Arabidopsis thaliana: one gene and its partner. The protein of the gene in region 1 purifies or fractionates together with the protein of each later gene. This does not show direct contact. Each region holds a gene or a part of one and is shown on either strand. Other genes may lie near its edges.

Region 1 (9,905 bases):
GCCTAACAGAATTGAATATAACGTAACGTACGTACCTAGTCGTTAATATTAGGATAATCATGGCGACTACTGATTACTTTTTAAAATGCCTAAAAGAAAAAAGCTATGAGAAAATGTATCGCAATCGACCGACTTTTTCACGTTTATTTTTTTTCAACATAATTAGTTAATTAAATTCAACGTTAGACTTTATTAAAAAATGAGGAATCTCAGAGAATATCAAAGCTTCACACACTAATCAAAAAGCTTGAACCAAATCCTCCTCAACATATAAATAGATAGCGTTGCATGCTTTATGAGATATATTCAACAAAAAAGACAGAAAAATGGGGAACACTATAATGGTGAGGAGAAACAAGGTGAAAGTTATGAAGATCGACGGCGATATTTTCCGGCTCAAAACTCCGGTGACGGCGAGTGACGCCACGAAAGAGTATCCCGGATTCGTGCTGTTAGACTCCGAGACCGTGAAACGATTAGGAGTTCGCGCCAAACCTCTAGAGCCGAATCAAATATTAAAGCCTAATCACACATATTTTTTGGTGGACCTTCCACCGGTAGATAAGAGGAATAAGCTTCCATACCGGAGAGTTATGTCCGGTAATATACATGTTGGCGCAAAGGAGCGTTTAGAGATGTTAATGCTTTCAAGGAGAACGGTTTCTGATGTTGGTGCAGCAAGATCTGACGTAGTAGGAGATGGGCCTGAGCTTGGACATACGAGGGTGAGGTTAAGGCTGCCTAGGTCTCAGATAACAAAGTTAATGGAAGAGAGCCATGATGCTTCGGAAGTGGCAGCGAAGATTATCAGTGCTTATATGGAGAGTTCCGGTGGGATACAAGGCGGTAGGGATAACGATGGCCTTCGCCAGAGACTTGGAATTGCGGAGATAAACAACCATTACAAAGCACGAGAGGTAAATGTCCGAGAAAATTACATGATCGAAATACATTTGAAGTTATCAATCCTAAGGTCTTATATATAGCATAAGTGCATAACTAAAACAAAGGTCTTATAGCATAGCTAAATATTTGAAATTACGTTTTTTTTCCAACAACATGCATTTTATCCGATTTGAATATAAATGGTGACACATCAACAAAGAAACTATTACAAACCAATAAACTACATGCAATAGTCATGAAGACATTAATATTTATGCTACTCAATTGCCTAAAGTTTTTGGAACCAGAACGTATGATGAATTATCACTATGTATAGTATATGATCAAACATCAAATCCGCATTTAATGTACTTTGGGTTTCGTTGTTTCAAACTGTAACTCATATTTTTTTTATATTTTTTTTGCCATGAATATATTTGTGAAATGAACACGCAAACTAAAGGAGATCTCTTTGTTTGTATTTGACATTTTATAAAACGTTGTTGTTCCAAATAAAATGCAGAAGCATGTGAGTTTCGCAGAGAAAGGAGGAAGAGGAGAGATCGTTGTTCTATGAAGTACAAAGCAAGAGTAGCCAGCAATTACATATTGTCCACTACTTCAAAATGCATTTGTTAGGATTCTTATTTTTTATTTGTTTTTAGGACTCATATATTTTTATGGGCATATCTAGCTATCATCTCTACTATGATGTCAAAAACGAAATGAGACATTTACCACCAATTTTTAATCAACATTCAGAAAGTTCGAGTCAAATTTTTACTACCGCCCATGAGCTATAATTTTAACATGCGTCCACCAATGTCTCAATTAAATATGCTTAAGCTATCCAATCCCAATATATATCATAGTGTAGTAGCTAATTACGCTAACTCAATCCTAATGTATCAAACTTTATTAGGCTAATTAGATCCGGATCCAAAATTCAATCGGATATCCGGATGCGATAGATTCGAATCTGAGTAATAGTAAAAATCAAAATTGGGATATCACGGTTATTGGCCTACTTTCGCGCTAAACCCAATATCCTGATCCGGTCTAATAGATAAACATCGCACATTCACATAGTGGTGGGCTTAAAATACAGATGATGTACCTATCTACTAGGAAATTCGAGAAAAGATGGAATAGGAAAGACGTGTTTCCAAATAATCCTATGACTAACCTAGCTCAAAAATTTTAGGACAAAAAACGGAATCCGCGGGATAAAAGGGGGATGGCAGTCTCATGTCCCCCTTGCCGGTGGGGACTCTGCTCCCGGGTTGGTGCCCATGTTTCGAGAAGTTTAAGGCAAATGGTGTGCCCATGTTTTGAGAGGTTTAAGGCAACTTGTAACTATATGACATTTTAGTTTAAACATATATCCCAAACCTAGAGTGTGCCTATAAAAGAAGGAAAATTGAAATTAAAGCTTTAATTAGTCATTTTTCGTCCTTTAAAAAAGAAGAAGAGTGAAAAAGATATATGTTTTTTTGTAATTTTTTTACTTAACACTCAATTTTTTGGTTTTAACAAAATATGATTTAAAATACTAGAAAATCATTATAATTAGTGTATTTTACAATTTTATATTTTCCCAACATGTAACAAAAAAAAACGATTTTTCTTATGTGCATATTAGTATGTATGTAAAGTTTCGTAATATGGATATACACATCTGTTTTAAGAAATAATTTTAAAGTATGATATTATAGGAGATTTCATCATATAATCTAATTATATTAATTAAAAAGTAAATAAACAATAAATTTATATAGAAATGTGGCCTCTAAAATGTTAATAATTCGTTATTCAAAATCGAATATCCCGATCCGGTCCAGTAGATAACATTACACAAATTAGGCCAACACATTCATTCATACCGTGGGGTTTATGATTATATCCGTTTTAAATTCTAACCAACCAAAAACCGAAATGGTTTAGTAAAACCGGAAAAGCAAAAGAAGATCCTTCACATTCTCATCATCATCACCACCTGATTCATCTTCTTCATCATTCACCCACTACACTGTTGACTCTTCGCTAAAACTCGATCCTTCAACGATCTTCGCCACCAAAGCAAGGTACTTTCATAAATATCTGGATTTTGATTACAAACCCCTTCTCTCGTAGTTTCATTTTAATCGATACTATCTAAAATTGCTGTTATGATCTCTCAATATCGTTGTTGTGAATTGGTAATTTAGTGTAATTTCGTTGTTGGGTTATGCAGAGAGAGTGAGATGGGAACTGTAATCGAAGGAAAGCTAAGATTTTGTATAGATAGAGGAGGTACTTTCACTGATGTATACGCTGAGATTCCAGGACATTCCGATGGTCATGTGTTGAAGCTTTTATCAGTTGATCCATCGAATTACGACGATGCTCCGGTCGAAGGAATTCGGAGAATACTCGAGGAGTATACAGGGAAGAAGATACCAAGAACGTCGAAGATACCAACTGATAAGATACAGTGGATTAGAATGGGAACTACTGTGGCAACGAATGCTTTGTTAGAGAGGAAAGGTGAAAGAATAGCTTTGTGTGTAACTAAAGGGTTTAAAGATTTGTTGCAGATAGGTAATCAAGCTAGACCTGATATTTTTGATCTTACTGTTGCGAAACCGTCGAATCTTTATGAGGAGGTTATAGAGGTTGATGAAAGAGTTGTGCTTGCGTTGGAAGATGATGATGATGATGAAGGGTCGTTGATTAAAGGAGTGTCTGGGGAGTTTCTTAGAGTTGTGAAGCCGTTTGATGGAGAAGGTTTGAAACCTTTGTTGAAGGGTTTGCTTGATAAAGGGATAAGTTGTTTGGCTGTTGTTTTGATGCATTCGTATACTTATCCGAAGCATGAGATGGATGTGGAGAAGTTGGCTTTAGAGATGGGTTTTAGACATGTTTCGTTGTCTTCTGCTTTGACACCCATGGTTCGGGCTGTTCCTCGGGGTTTAACAGCTACTGTGGATGCGTATTTGACACCAGTGATTAAAGAGTACTTGTCGGGTTTTATTTCCAAATTTGATGATGATCTTGGGAAAGTGAATGTTTTATTCATGCAATCTGATGGAGGTTTAGCACCAGAAAGTAGGTTTTCAGGGCATAAGGCTGTGTTATCAGGTCCAGCAGGAGGAGTTGTTGGTTACTCACAGACACTCTTTGGTCTTGAAACTGAAAAACCGCTGATTGGATTTGATATGGGTGGTACGTCAACGGATGTTAGCCGCTATGATGGAAGTTATGAGCAAGTTATAGAAACTCAGATTGCTGGAACAATTATACAAGCGCCACAGCTTGACATAAATACCGTTGCTGCCGGTGGTGGGTCGAAACTAAAGTTTCAGTTTGGTGCTTTCCGAGTGGGACCTGATTCTGTGGGTGCTCACCCAGGTCCAGTTTGTTACCGGAAAGGAGGTGAGTTAGCAGTTACTGATGCGAATCTTGTTTTGGGGTTTGTTATTCCTGATTATTTTCCATCCATATTTGGGCCCAATGAAGATCAGCCCTTAGATGTAGCAGCAACAAGAGAAGCATTTGAAAAGCTTGCAGGACAGATTAATATATATAGAAAGAGCCAGGATCCATCTGCAAAAGACATGTCTGTGGAGGAAATAGCAATGGGTTTTGTGAGTGTTGCTAACGAGACAATGTGCCGTCCCATACGGCAACTGACAGAGATGAAGGGTCATGAAACAAAGAATCATGCACTCGCATGCTTTGGAGGTGCTGGACCGCAACATGCTTGTGCAATAGCTAGGTCTTTGGGCATGAAAGAAGTTCTTGTTCACAGATACTGTGGAATTTTGAGTGCTTATGGAATGGGTTTGGCAGATGTCATTGAAGATGCTCAAGAGCCATATTCAGCTGTTTATGGCCCTGAATCTCTTTCAGAGGTCTTTAGAAGGGAAACGGTATTGCTGAGAGAAGTGAGAGAAAAGCTCCAGGAACAGGGGTTTGGTGATGGAAATATCTCCACTGAGACATATTTGAACTTAAGATATGATGGGACAGATACAGCTATCATGGTAAAGGGTAAAAAAACTGGAGATGGGTCGGCATTTGATTATGCTGCAGAGTTTCTCAAGCTTTTCGAGCAAGAGTATGGATTTAAACTTCAAAACAGAAATCTTCTCATATGTGATGTTCGGGTTCGGGGAATTGGAGTGACTAGTATACTAAAACCACGGGCAGTTGAAGCTGCCCCTGTCACTCCTAAGGTTGAAAGGCACTACAAGGTTTACTTTGAAGGCGGATGGCATGACACACCGTTGTTCAAGTTGGAGAATTTAGGTTTTGGCCATGAGATTCTCGGCCCTGCGATCATCATGAACGGGAACAGTACAGTTATTGTAGAACCTCAGTGCAAAGCCATCATTACAAAGTATGGAAACATTAAAATTGAGGTAGAGCCAGCAACGAGCAGTGTGAAGCTTGCAGAGAATGTTGCAGATGTTGTTCAGCTATCCATATTTAATCACAGATTCATGGGTATAGCTGAGCAAATGGGAAGAACCCTGCAACGTACTTCCATATCGACAAATATCAAAGAAAGATTGGATTTTTCATGCGCCTTGTTTAGTCCTGACGGTGGCTTAGTTGCTAATGCGCCACATGTTCCAGTTCATCTGGGTGCCATGTCCAGTACAGTTCGCTGGCAGCTCAAACATTGGGGTGAAAATCTGAACGAAGGAGATGTTTTGGTAACAAATCATCCTTGCGCCGGTGGTAGCCATTTGCCTGATATAACCGTTATCACACCTGTTTTTGACAAGGGAAAGCTTGTGTTCTTTGTGGCTAGTAGAGGTCACCACGCAGAAGTAGGAGGCATAACTCCCGGAAGCATGCCTCCGTTCTCAAAGGCGATTTGGGAGGAAGGAGCTGCGATAAAAGCATTTAAAGTTGTTGAAAAAGGTGTTTTTCAGGAAGAAGGAATTGTAAAACTTCTTCAATTCCCTTCTTCTGATGAGACAACAACTAAGATTCCAGGAACCAGACGGATTCAGGACAATCTCTCGGATCTCCAAGCTCAGATAGCTGCAAACCAAAGAGGAATTTCTCTAATTAAAGAGCTGATTGAGCAATATGGCCTTGGAACTGTTCAGGCTTACATGAAATACGTTCAGCTTAACGCCGAAGAAGCAGTGAGAGAAATGCTGAAGTCTGTAGCTAATAGAGTTTCCTCGGAAACACCAAATTCCAGGGTTGGTAACTCCGTGACCATAGAAGAAGAGGATTACATGGATGATGGATCCATAATTCACTTAAAACTCACAATTGATGCCGACAAAGGAGAAGCCTCCTTTGACTTTACAGGCACAAGCCCGGAAGTCTACGGTAACTGGAATGCCCCAGAAGCAGTTACATCTGCAGCGGTTATTTACTGCCTCCGTTGTTTGGTTAATGTCGACATTCCGCTAAACCAAGGCTGCTTAGCTCCGGTTGAGATCCGCATACCCGCTGGTTCATTCCTGTCTCCAAGCGAAAAAGCAGCTGTTGTTGGAGGCAACGTTCTAACATCCCAGAGAGTTACAGATGTTGTCCTAACAGCATTCCAGGCTTGTGCTTGTTCCCAAGGATGCATGAACAATCTCACATTTGGAGACGACACATTTGGGTACTACGAGACCATTGGTGGTGGATGCGGAGCCGGACCCACATGGAACGGGACAAGCGGAGTCCAATGCCATATGACTAACACGCGGATGACTGATCCCGAGATCTTTGAGCAAAGGTGCTGAAACATCCTGTTAGTTCTGTAGCTATGAAAAAAACTGAATGGTCAGACGTACTTGCACTAGACTAACACATGGGTTTTTATCAGGTACCCGGTTCTGTTGCATAGATTTGGATTGAGAGAGAATAGTGGAGGCAATGGGTTGCATAAAGGAGGCGATGGATTGGTGAGAGAGATAGAGTTTAGAAAGCCTGTAGTGGTTAGCATCCTCTCAGAGAGAAGAGTTCACTCGCCACGTGGATTGAACGGTGGCCAAAATGGACTCCGTGGAGCAAACTATCTCATCACTAAAGACAAACGAAGAATCTATCTTGGAGGCAAGAATACGGTACACGTAGAAGCCGGTGAAATCTTACAGATTCTTACTCCAGGCGGTGGCGGATTCGGCTCCAACATATAAACAATTCATCTCCTCCTCATAAGTCTCTTCTCGAACTTCATTACTCCTTCATTTAACGTATAATCCAAATTAGTTGTTTATGTGTCTTGTTGTTGTTTCGGTGTCTCTTAGCCGGATATTCTTTGGAGGTTTGGCCATTTTCAGTGAAATAAGGATCAGATTCTTGATTCATTAGAAACAAGGTAATAAATTGTCTTGGTGAATAAGTTTTAGTTGTTGTTGTATGTACTTATGTATCACTATTGCTGGTCCAAGACTTTTGGCTGGATTTCATTGATGCCATTGTCGACATTGAAAAGAGATTTGTGTCTGCTATGATCGGTCCAACAAAACTAGTCGTCTGAAGCAACCAAAAAAAAAAGTGGCCCCTTGTATAATTTGTCGTAGTAATGTATTTTTTCCTATTTTGTGTAAATTTGAATTCTAATTAATTTTTAAAAGGAATACAAAAGAAAATAAAAGGCAAAAAAAGGGATAGAAAGATGAGAAGTTAGGTAAGATACAATTAAATGAAGGATTTTGCTTTTTTTTTGTCCACCATATTAAAGAAGGAAAATTAGAAATATGTGGCCTTCACAAACTATTTTCTAAAATAAACGATATTGTTTTAAATGAAACCATGGGCTTATGAATATTGCTCCCTAAAAGGCTAAAATCCATTATATTTATCAAAAAATATGACCTTCAATAAACTCAAAAGTTTGGTGGTCATACGCTTGAACTTGCCCGTCTATCCTACGGACGGGATCTAGTATTTGACATTTCAAATGTCACATTTGTTTACATATAAGCTTTTAACTCAAAACTAATTGAGAATGAATATAGAACATTATCTATTAATGCATAAATTACCCAACTTTTATGTTGGATTTTTTTAATATTTTAATAAATCTTCTTAAGATATGGGTGAAAAACGGTCCAATAAAAATGAATCAAGTCCATTATCTCAGAAATATTACAACAAAATGATTTACTTGTACATGTCATAGATGAAAAATCGTCTATGTGAAAAATCGTCTGTTGCGCTAATATTGGACTCTGATACCATATTAATGCTATTTTCCATTAGGGAGAGTTCAAGAGAAAACATAATATGAGAAAAGATATTTTCTTTATTCAAGTCAATGTATACATGATTAAGCTTAAATACATAGCAAACTAAACCAAAGATATTAACCAAATTAAACCATAACTAAACCAGCTATATAAACTTTAATATTCCTCCTCAAGATGAAAGGATTGGGAACGATGAACCTACATGATCAAAACTAAATTACAATGATCCTCTAGTGGTCTTGGTAATGAACATTAAAGAAATCCAAGTATGCATTGAAACTAACCAGAATGAGCCACAATAATAGATTCAATAAAACTTGGTTCTGATACCATATTAGGAATCATGGCATCCAACTCAAAAACAATTGAGAATGAGTGGAGACACCCATAAACATTATATACTAGTGTAGAAATTATCCAATTTCCCATGTGAGACTTTTCTAGCACTCTAATAGTATGAATTAGTTAAAATAAAATAAAATATGACAAAATCTTTCTTTGTCAAATCTGAGTGTTAGAAAATTAGAAAAGTTTACCCCACAAAAAGCAATGGTACAATTTCCCAATTTCTTTCTATAACAAATAAAATAAAATAAAGAAAAAATTAGACTAAAATCTTCGTTAGTATGTAGAATTACAAAGAAGAGATATTCAGCACACTACGACATATAGCAAGATTAAAATGATCTTTCTTTTGGTGGAAGTTGGTCATAATCCATAACCATTACATATTGGGAACATCTTCTTCTTTATGCTCTTCTTCATCTTCTTCAAATTTGTTGTCCAATTCGATTGGTAGAGATTTTTCTCCAAGACAAACATGATGAGCATTCATACGAGCGGGAAGGGTTTCTTATGGTTGTTGATACTTGTTAATGTTCATGAGAACCGATTCTAACAAGCCCAACAAGCCTTGCAAAATATAGGTCGGACTAGGCCTTGCTAGCATGATTAACATGCCTAAGTGTCGTTGATTTTCTATTCTTCATAGGTAGTAGAAAAGCTAGAAAATTAAAAAAGAACAAAAGAAGTATCAAAAAACCTAGATAGTAGGAGCATCTTTATTGGTTCGAATATCTTGAAATCACATAAAAGTAAAGTAAAATAATATTTTTAATCATATATATGTATATATATTATTTTAATAATTTAACTATGAATGTCATATGTTATCTAAGTCTCTATCTTATCTTCTTATTTTTCCTCTATTTAACATTTTTTTAATAAAAATATCTACTTTACATATCTTGATAATGATATAGCTGCTCTAATATACTATAGATTAATTATAAGTTTTTTTGATAAAGTAGATATTTTTCAAAAATAATTGGTAAAGTATGTAATCTTTTATATGATTTTGTACACCGTTGAGTTGAGTTAAAACAAAATAGAAGATTACGTATCTACAAATATATAACAAAATTAGGTTCTTTAGATTCACAAAAATAAAATTATTATTTTAAAATGTTACTGTGGTAAATATTTTAGGATGATTTATAACAAAATCAAATTAAAAATGTAAAGGAGAAAAAAAAAGTATGATTTTATAATTGATTTTTGTGGGATCTTTATGTGAACAAATGAAAAGAGTAAAAGTTTTTGATAAAAAAAGAAAAAAAGAGTAAAAGGTTAAGTTGGTCATGTTACAATTGTGTTGTATTATAAGAGGAAAAGACAGCACTACCTATTTTACAATTTTTTTTAAAGTACATAGTTACAAAATTATTTGTAATAAAAATGCCTAATTTGCATAATTTTCTAGTTTATGTGGAAGAGTACGTAAAATGGTACATGCACATTAGTAAAATAATTAATAACTTTGCACAAAAT
Region 2 (9,763 bases), on another chromosome or scaffold:
AGGCCACTAAAGCACTATAACGATTTCCAAGCAAATCGCCGACAGCGAGGAGGAGACGGTTTCGGTGGCGGTCGATGACAAATCCGTTGGAAGAGTTACCGGCGAGGTCAACGTCTTTGACCAAAGTGACTTCCTTAAGAACGTCGTCGGAATCTTTAGTAGGAACAAGCTCGCCGATACCGCCGCCGCCGTCCATGTAGGAAACGAGGAATCTCCGACCAACGTCGTCCCATTTGGCGCACTCGCGGAGGAAGCCGGAGCTGTGGTAAGAGATGACGTGCGTGGAAGGAACAGCTTTCTCTGAAGAGATAATATAAGCTATTGGAACGGCGGAGAGAATGAAGAAGAAGAGAGCGACGGAGTATTTGCCGGAGCAGCAGGACGGCGACATTTTGAAAAAGACAGTTATAGAGAGTAATAAATTGGGTGCGAGGAAGACCACCTTAAGAAAGTGTGGAATAGATACAGAGAGAGTTTGGTTGGTGAGCGAACATTTGGAAAATATGGGGCCCACTTACTTAGATGCACATACAACCTTGCACTAGTTTTGGCGGCCCGTTGAATGTATCATTGGGCCCAGAATCTGTGTCCAGAATTCAATACGAATAGTTACATTTTGTATTTTTGATTACTGTTGTTTCATGTTTGTACCTTTTTACCAATTTAATGCCCTATACTATTTCCGTTGAAGCTTTAAATTCACAAGTTGGTTATATATTAGGTGAGCTGAAAATATCATTTGGGCCATTTACTTCATACAGTTGAGAAAATATTCAATTTGACACGTTTTTTTTTAATATAGTTGTATCGTGTTTTCTTATTTATTAGAATTAATTTCTGTCAATATAATAATTTGTGGTTTTGCTTTCTTTGGGTCGCATCAAATGTTAGGTGTTTTGAAATTTTGATGATATTATTATTTTTAGACAAAATTGACTGGAGTTGAACAGTAATGGGCCGGTCTCAGATGTTAGCCCAATAGGTTGACAGAGAAAATGTATGATCCATGAGAGTGACTAAATTAAATTGATTAATCTCTTGCGCACACCTGAATCCTCGTCTTCATTCGTTCCGGTCGTCGTCTACACCTCCACACTCCGACTTGGTAAATCCCCAGACTCATCTCTCTCTCTCCTTTTCTTTTGATTTCTAGATTTGCTAGTTTGTTTCGATTGTTCTTCTAGATAGAAATTAACGAGTGATTTTTGATTTAACCGATTCGCATCAATGCCCCTTCTTCTTATTGCGTCGATCTCATGGATCGGGATCCATCGTTCCTCTATCTGATTTCTCTTGTGGGAAAGAATTTCAAGCTTTATGGTTTTGTAGTAATGAACGTTTATCATTTTCGTTCGAGGGAAGATTTTTAAACTTTCGTTATGCGGATTCTGGATATTAGGCTGTTTTTTTTTTTTTTTTTTAATCGATTGAAGGATGTCAATTTATAGATTGGGCTGTAGATTGCTAGTTTATGTCATTGATATTGAATTGTAAGTTTTTCGATCTTCCAGTCATACAAATCACTAATTGCCTCAAGATAGGAAAATCCATTGGCAGTATATAGATGGAGTTCATATCTTAAGCACAGGTTTATATGGTCATTACATTTCTAGCTTTTGTTTGTTAGGACTGATTCATGTTGGGTTTTTGGGGTTATTCTTTATAACGGGTCATGCTTGTATATATGTAGTATCAATACATTTCTGATTTGTGGTTATGCTTGATGCAAAAAAGATCCAATCTTTCGAGTTGGTAGTGAGTTACATTTGTTACTTTTGGTAGGTTGAGAAGAAGAAAGAAGAGATGGCAGGACACAAGGTTGCACATGCGACATTGAAAGGGCCTAGCGTTGTCAAGGAGTTATTTATCGGTTTGGCACTCGGTTTAGCTGCTGGTGGTCTTTGGAAGATGCACCATTGGAACGAACAGAGGAAAACCAGAACTTTCTATGACTTGCTTGAGAGAGGTGAGATCAGTGTTGTAGCTGCTGAAGAGTAATTAAGCCGCTCAATAACTGGTTCCTGAAGATTGTTTGATTTCCATTTCTGTCTTTTTTTTCTTTTTTTTGTTGGGTTCTTAAGAAATAAACAAATCTGAGAATGGGATTTGTAACAAATTCAGATGTGATGTTCATTCAGACATAATCTCTTTTGTTTTGTTTCGAGAAATTACAAAAGGTGAATATTTATGAAACTTATTGATCGAAGTTTTGCACTTGAAAGAGTGTTTCCAGCATTTCAAGTAATTCAAAAACTTTTTTTCATATTATTATGAATCAATGTTTTGTATGAAAAATAAGTTTGTGTTGCATCTGCCTTTTTTTGTGCTCTCTGTTTCTGCAAGTGCACTCGCATGCTGCATGTGGCTAGTGAACCACTTTTGGGAACTCTGAAAAAAGTATAATCAAATGTGAGAATTCTTGTGGTTTTGTTTTCTGTTTGGGAATGGTGGTGAGAGAGTTTACCAGAGAAGTGATCTCCTGAGCTTGGAGTGAACTTCATGCTCACCAAACTCCGGATTACCACCACCTGTGCCTGTGGATACTTTGTCTGCAGAATCTGACCCTTCTTTGGACTGGTCGGGACTTGTATCTGCATCTGATGTGTTTGGAACACAGTATTTTTGAAGCCAACGGTCAGTTTCCCAGAGAACGTGCATAATGCTTTCCCGTGCTGAGTACCCGTGGCTCTCGTGAGGAAGAACAACAAGACGGCAAAGAGCGCCGTGGCCTTTTAGTGCATTGAAGAATCGGTCTGACTGTTATACAAAGTAAGTGAAATGAATACAGTTAGAGAGAACCAATCCAGTGATAACTTGGTGTGAACCAATCCTTTCAAGTGATATCAATGAAGTAACCTGCATTGTTAGAGTTCCTGGGTTATTGTCTTCTTCACCATGAATAAGTAAGATTGGCTTCTTGATTTTATTAGCAGACATGAATGGGCTCATCTCTACATAGACGTTAGTGGCTTCCCACAGAGTTCGGTCCTCGTTCTGAAAATTTACAGGCATAGTTAAAGAATAACCAAAAAAGCGAAGTAAATTAACTATCAAAATGCAGAGAATGAGAGGAGAAAGACAATTGGTCTTGGCACCTGGAAACCAAAGGGCGTGAGTGTTCTGTTGTAAGCCCCAGATCTGGCAATCCCGCAGGCGAAAAGATGAGGAGCATGAGCAAGAAGATTTGCAGTCATAAAAGCTCCATAGGAGTGTCCCCCAACTGCAATTTTGCTTCGATCAGCCACCTTGAAAAAAGAACAAACAATAGTAAGTTTCAAAACTGTTGGGTTTCATACAATACCGAGGTGATGGATTTAGGATAAAGCAATGCTTACTCCACGCCTGACGACTTCCTCTACAGCAGCTTCGGCACTTGCCACCAGTTGCTCTACATACCTGATTTTTTTTTTCAGTTGTTCACATTAGAATCTGTCAAGCTCAAGCACATCTCAGATCTGAAACTTACATGGTTTGATGTCACAAGTTCCCACTTAATTAGTTTGCTTATGCTTATAGGAAGGAAATCTTTAACCAAGACGATATCACTGGTTTCTATGTTCTAGCAACAAGCTTTACGAAAGTAAATATCACTTTACCTATCATTAGCCTCTTCATCACCTTCACCAATTATAGGTATAGTAGGTCCAGATAATATAGCAAACCTGCACAGTGCAGACAAATCCAGATGGTATAAGCTAACACTCGATCAACAAGCTCAGTGATATAGACCCCGGCACACTGAAACAGCAAAAAACAGTATCAATGCTAAACCTTCTAGCAAGCCAAAGAAGGGCAGAAGTTGATCCAATGCCTGCAAATTCATTTGGCGAGCCACGGACTTGACCAGCAGCATCTTTACTCTTGAATTCACCAGGATAAGACCAAAACAGACAAGGAAGAGGACCGTCTTTTGATGGATCATAGCCTGGTGGTAGGTATAGTGTTGCAGTAAGTTGAACCCCGTCTTTCCGTTGATACCTGATCATCTCTTTCTGTAACGAAGCCAATTGCGGATACGGATGAGGAAAGTTTGTAATCTGTTGCACTTTCCTATCAGGCCAAAGTTGGAGAGAATATTGGGTGTTTTCTGTTTTAGACTCCTTTGATGTCAGAATTTTCAGCTCCTCCATTTTTAAATCCCCTTCTTTTTGGTCAGACATCAAGGCAACAACTGTCTCGAAATACTTTTCCTTGTCGCTCTCCCAGATTCGTTCTTTGTTGCCTGTATTTCTAGATAAATTTTGTACAGAACATTCAGTTTGTTATCGCTTAATGGCAATAAAAACAAAAAGAGAAGCAAAAGAAAGAGAAATCATTGTCAGGTTGGGCTTACATGTCAAACAAGTCAAGGAAGGGCACATTCCCTTGTGGTGTAGCCCCACTTCCGTTCAGTAATACATAAGTGCCTTCATCATTTTCCTTCTTTATCTTTGCTATTACATACGTTCCAGCATCGGTCCTTCTCAGCATGGTTGAGCCAGGGTCTGAGTACACATCTTCCGATGATCTATCAAACAAGATGCGTGGACTGACATCGTTAGATCCAGGAGAGATAACCCACGTCCTTGTTCGTCGTGTTTTATACCATGATTCATAAACCAGAGCTAATGTATCATCACACCAAGAAATCCCTCTGCAGAATTGAAATCGGATCAATGTTAGGACATAGAAGGCTTTGATGAAGTTAGTCAGTTTGTTGATAAGATGGCATAAGTAATCTACAATATCTGCTGTGTTTTTAGTTGTTACCCATAACGAAGATCGAGCTTGTGTAACACTTCTGGTTCTTCTCCTGCCAATGGTTCAGCAGACTGCATATAAACTATATCACGCGGTGAAACTTCCATTTTGGCATCACCTCCATCTTGTGTTTCTGCCCTACATATCTCAGAAGAGTTGTAAATTAATTACTTCCAAATCCCATTTTGGCACGTGTACTACATGTGATTCACTTTGAATCTCAAATATATACCAGTAGAGGGTTGAAGGCTTGTCTGCTCGCCAGTTTATTGAACGCATTCCTTTCCGCACACTATTGGAGGCAATGGGGATATCTTCAGCCAAGGGCAAGTCACATAGCTGTCTTACAAATCTACCATCAGTTGTCCAGACTTCCACCTTCTTTGGAAATCTACCACAAGGTACAATGAAGGAATATGGCCTGTGAAGTGATGACACCAACAAGTACTTATGGTCTGTCGAAGGGTCTAACGATGTATACACTGCAGGAACCCCTACTTCCTTCACAGTACCATCCAAAGAAGCCAATACTAGTTGTGATGAAGCGTAGTAGTCAAATAAATCAGCATCATACTCATCCTTAAGCAAATCTTGGAATGTTCTAACTTGGACAACAGTCTTCGTCTCGTTTGACAGAGTTTTGGGACCAGATGGCACCAAAGGTTTCTTTGGTGGTTCTCCACGAGATGAAGGGATTGTGCTCACCAACAAAGTGGAATTATCAATCCAAACAAAACTCTCAAAAATCGCATTCAGAAAAATATCTTGCGAGTTAAACAATGGTCTAGCTACTCCAGTCTCAACATCAGCTACCCATACCACTGGCTTACTACTATTTCCGTTCTCATCGACCCGGATGCTGAAAGCCAGATGCTTACCGTCATTGGACCATGTAACAAAGTTAATCTTACCACCATCTGGAATGCCAGTGATCTCCTTCTCAGGACTCAATGTACCATCAGGCAATAACTGATGGATTCCTAAACCAGTATAGAATGACATTCTGCTTCTGGTATTGCAGTATCCATCAATTCGAACACCAGCAAGCTTCTCCTCTGGTCTAGCTAAATCTGCGAGCGGAGGCAATGCTCTCCGCTTGAGAAACAATATCTTATCCCTATGTGGTGAAAATGATAAAGCCGGGACTGGTGGAGCATCTACAATATCTCTGATCTCAGGTGGAGGCAGACGATATCCAGTGCCTATAGCCAATTCTACATAGTTCAACACACAAACAAACAATCAAAAACGATTTCTCAGATTTCAATTCCAGTGACAAGTAACTCTATACACAAAAATATTCAAATCCAAGTTACCATCATCTTCAGTTGCAGTAGCAGAGGCTGATAGGGAGCCATTAGAGGTTCCACCACCGTCTTCAGCACCTCCAGAACAGGCAGATGCGAGAGAACGAAGCCTAGAAGCAGAACGTGAAGCCATGACAGTGGTCAACGGGTTTTCGGAGAATCGGCGAACTCTTACGCAACGTCGTGTACTCAGAGTCGAGAATCCGGAAAGCTTGGGAAGTAGAAGGAGAGAAGAAGCCGGTGACGGAGACGGCGGAGATAAATGGCAGAGAGGTGAAAGAGAGAAACGATGACAAGCTTTATGAAAGCGCATCATCTTTTTTTAATACTTGACTTTTTTAACCTTTTTAAAGTGCTCTGAATGATTCTCTCTTTTTCTATTCGACGGTTCACTAATCAAAACGACGACTGTATCTGTATGTATTTTTAACCAGGAAAACAAAAAATATCAGGAAAAATATCGGTAGTGGTCACTGCTTATGTGGGCCTTATCTATGGCCCAACTAGCGCTTATTTCCTGGAATATGGCCCATTATAAGTCAGTCGTCCTCCCCCTTTTTCTCAACAAAATGAAATACTCAAAAATATAGTAATTATTAATTTATTATGCTACTTTTCATGAGAAGTTTATGTCTATGAAAATTACAGAAGAGAAAATGATAACAAATTTTTATTATTTCAGTCAAAAATTAAAAAAAAAGCTTCTATAATTTTCAAGAAAAAATGTTCAACGGCTGATAAAATAAATATTCCGGGGAAAAACTTATGTTTCTCAAATTGGTAGAATACTACTTTTTGTGAAAAAATCTAAGTACACGTGGCAAAATATGCTTGGTTCTTAGAAGATAAGAGGATTGTGTTCACAGAGTTTAATAACGTGAACGAGTATATTTTATCTTCTTCATCTCTTCACATCAAAAAACTTTTCTCCTCCATCAAAATCCTCCGACGATGACAACCATAGCTGCAGCTGGCCTCAACGTCGCGACTCCACGAGTGGTCGTTCGACCTGTGGCTCGTGTATTAGGTCCGGTCCGGTTGAATTACCCGTGGAAATTCGGTTCGATGAAGCGGATGGTTGTGGTTAAGGCTACATCGGAAGGAGAGATATCGGAGAAGGTGGAGAAGAGTATACAAGAAGCTAAGGAGACATGCGCTGATGATCCGGTGAGCGGGGAGTGTGTAGCGGCTTGGGACGAGGTGGAGGAGCTGAGTGCGGCGGCGAGTCATGCTAGGGACAAGAAGAAAGCTGGTGGCTCCGATCCTTTGGAAGAGTATTGCAATGATAATCCTGAGACTGATGAGTGTCGTACTTATGATAATTAAAAAATATGTTTTTGATGTTCGAATTATGAAACTTTAGGTATGGATCAATGTTTGTTCTTCTTGTCCCTTGTTGTTATGTTTGTGTTTTTGGTTTGGTTGATGATTGTAATGTGATAAATGAATATGAATAGTACAATACACAACATATGTTTCATAATGTGTTTGGTTCGATTACATTTGCAGTTTCGTGAAATTGATAATAAAAAACTCAATTAAGTTTAGATGAGGCTGAGATGATCTTAGGTCACTCGCATACGTTCCTTATTATTTTTTTGTGGATGTGGAGATGTATGTGTCAAAACGACGTTGAGCCGAGAGAAAGATGAATTGATCGAGAGTTTCTTAGACGGTTTTAAAATTGCTGCCTTGCTGGTATGGGAATTAATCTTTGGTTTCAACAAGATGGGTAACAACAAACAAGCCCATGTAATTATGTTGATGCAGTGTAATGGGCTTTATCAAGCATGGGCCGATGTACAAATTTGACATATAGAATAGAACCAGTTTGTGGCCAGCCTCAAGGTGATGAGAAACAGTAAATATATTAAGGAATAAGTGAACTAAATAATTTGACAAAAAAAAAAACACCTGAAATGTATACAATTTTATTGTTTGATAACAAAATTTGTGAAGTTAAGTGAATGAATTCAAAATCGTTTATCTTCTAGCATTAAATTGATTAATCTAAAGTAAATGATACGAGTGTGCTTGTTTGATGCTCTTCTGTGTTATTTTGCAAATTTGAATTCGTTCACTTATATATATTTTTGGCGGTTCAGAAAAGTAGATTTTAACAAGAAAAATGCATCGGCACGGTATCACCAGTTAAAATCTGAAGGTAAAAAGGTTATATATGAATTTGTAAGAAAACAACAAAAATTAAGCCGATCTATTTGTCGGCCCAGCCGCTAAAGAGTCAATTATACCCCTATAATTCTCACGCGGTTTAAGAAAATGCAACAACAAGTAAGGGGTGTATCTGTCTTCTCACACATAAGATTTTTTTTTTTGCTTATTAAAACTCTTACGTATTGTTGTTTCCTATTCTCAAATTTGTATTTTCCAGATTTTCCAGAAAAATCTCACAGCGGTAAGAAAAAAAGAAAAAGAAGAGTCAGTGGTCTTGTTGTTTCGTTCTTCCTTGTTCGCTCGACCTGGCCGATGTCTAACCAGGACCAGGAGACGCGCACACAATTCGCAGAATGTAACGTTGTTGCTACTCTTCTTCTCTCGTTTCTGTGACCTAAGAACCATTCGAATTCGCTGCTCCGTCTCTCTGGTTTCGTCCTTGAAAAATCGTCTACTCGAGATTCCTTTCTCTAGCCACCCATCTCAACTGCTGAGTAGCAAGCTGTATTTTTGTTGACCTAACTAAACCCTAGCTTCTTCGAGGTTTTCTCTTGATTCCCTTGTCTTTTCTAGCTCCCGAATTTGCCAGTTTTACTTGATTTTCATTTTTCATGTGTGATGTGTGTTTTTCTATGTAATTGGATCTTAGGGTTTTTTGATTTGGGAATAACTCTTTGAAATCGCATTTAAGATTGTGTCTCAATGCTTTTTTACGATCCAATTCCTTGAGATGTTTTGTAGATTTCTTTCAGTCGCTTAATTAGGGGAATGATTGGATGATCCTTCCTGTGTAGTAGGAAGAACAGATAAAGTTACATCAGATTCCAATTTTTAAAAGAGAACCCTAGTTTACTATTAAGTATGTGGACGATTCTATTTCATATGAAAGGTCTTGGTGTTATATATGTCATCTGTGTATATTTATCTAAAACTGAGTCAGTATAGTGCATGCTTTAATTGATGAGACTGTCTTTCACTTTGGCAGTGGCATTTTTTTGACGAGTGCTTCTCTTCCTTATCATGGACTGGATACACAAATCTACTCCTTTTATGGAACCTTCGAATTTGGCAAAACTGGTTCAAGGAAATGTTCCTCTTCAGCCACATGACAGCCATTCTTCGCTAACTGATCTAGATATGGACCTTAGAGAAGTCTATTTCCTGATTTTACATTTTCTTTCTATTGGCCCCTGCGAACGAACCTTTGGCCACTTGAGAGACGAAATTTTGGAAAAAGGGCTTTTACCCCGTAGATATCATTCCTGGTGGTCAAGAAGTGGCATTTATAGCGGGCGTGCTGATGATGATGGCATCTCCCTCCCCTTGAGTTATGATAATTTGATAGAGAGGTACTGTTTCTTTTTTTTTTTCCTACTCCACTCTTCCATTGTTGAGTTACTATGGAAGCCTTGCCATAGCTTATTGAAATGTGCTGTTACTTGTCTCTCAACATGTGTCTTGTTATGTCATTACTTTATGTGAGTGTTCCCACCTCCGTAATTGTGCCCAAGTTTTTTTTCTTTTCATAAGTTCTGTCATCA

The links.
Region 2: the proteins of OXP1 (region 1) and AT2G47390 fractionate together in Arabidopsis thaliana (co-fractionation; one large-scale study listed by BioGRID). This does not show direct contact.

What each region holds. Positions count from the first base shown.
Region 1 is NC_003076.8:15,053,749-15,063,653, reverse strand, and holds OXP1 (oxoprolinase 1), read left to right. Parts: upstream 1-2,787; 5' UTR 2,788-2,969; intron 2,970-3,118; 5' UTR 3,119-3,128; coding exon 3,129-6,616; intron 6,617-6,706; coding exon 6,707-7,019; 3' UTR 7,020-7,466; downstream 7,467-9,905. Other genes in the region: AT5G37840 (plastid movement impaired protein), read left to right, coding at 327-917, 1,409-1,462. UniProt on the Arabidopsis thaliana protein: Catalyzes the cleavage of 5-oxo-L-proline to form L-glutamate coupled to the hydrolysis of ATP to ADP and inorganic phosphate. Acts in the glutathione degradation pathway.
Region 2 is NC_003071.7:19,439,891-19,449,653, forward strand, and holds AT2G47390 (Prolyl oligopeptidase family protein), read right to left. Parts: upstream 6,476-9,763; 5' UTR 6,364-6,475; coding exon 6,057-6,363; intron 5,955-6,056; coding exon 4,973-5,954; intron 4,879-4,972; coding exon 4,750-4,878; intron 4,634-4,749; coding exon 4,334-4,633; intron 4,231-4,333; coding exon 3,772-4,230; intron 3,663-3,771; coding exon 3,597-3,662; intron 3,397-3,596; coding exon 3,336-3,396; intron 3,246-3,335; coding exon 3,096-3,245; intron 2,995-3,095; coding exon 2,857-2,994; intron 2,758-2,856; coding exon 2,465-2,757; intron 2,389-2,464; coding exon 2,388-2,388; 3' UTR 2,102-2,387; downstream 1-2,101. Other genes in the region: AT2G47370 (Calcium-dependent phosphotriesterase superfamily protein), read right to left, coding at 1-391; AT2G47380 (Cytochrome c oxidase subunit Vc family protein), read left to right, coding at 1,804-1,998; CP12-1 (CP12 domain-containing protein 1), read left to right, coding at 6,999-7,373; AT2G47410 (WD40 domain-containing protein), read left to right, coding at 9,243-9,571. UniProt on the Arabidopsis thaliana protein: Serine-type protease active in vitro against the LHCII N-terminal. Cleaves its substrate on the carboxy-side of Glu residues.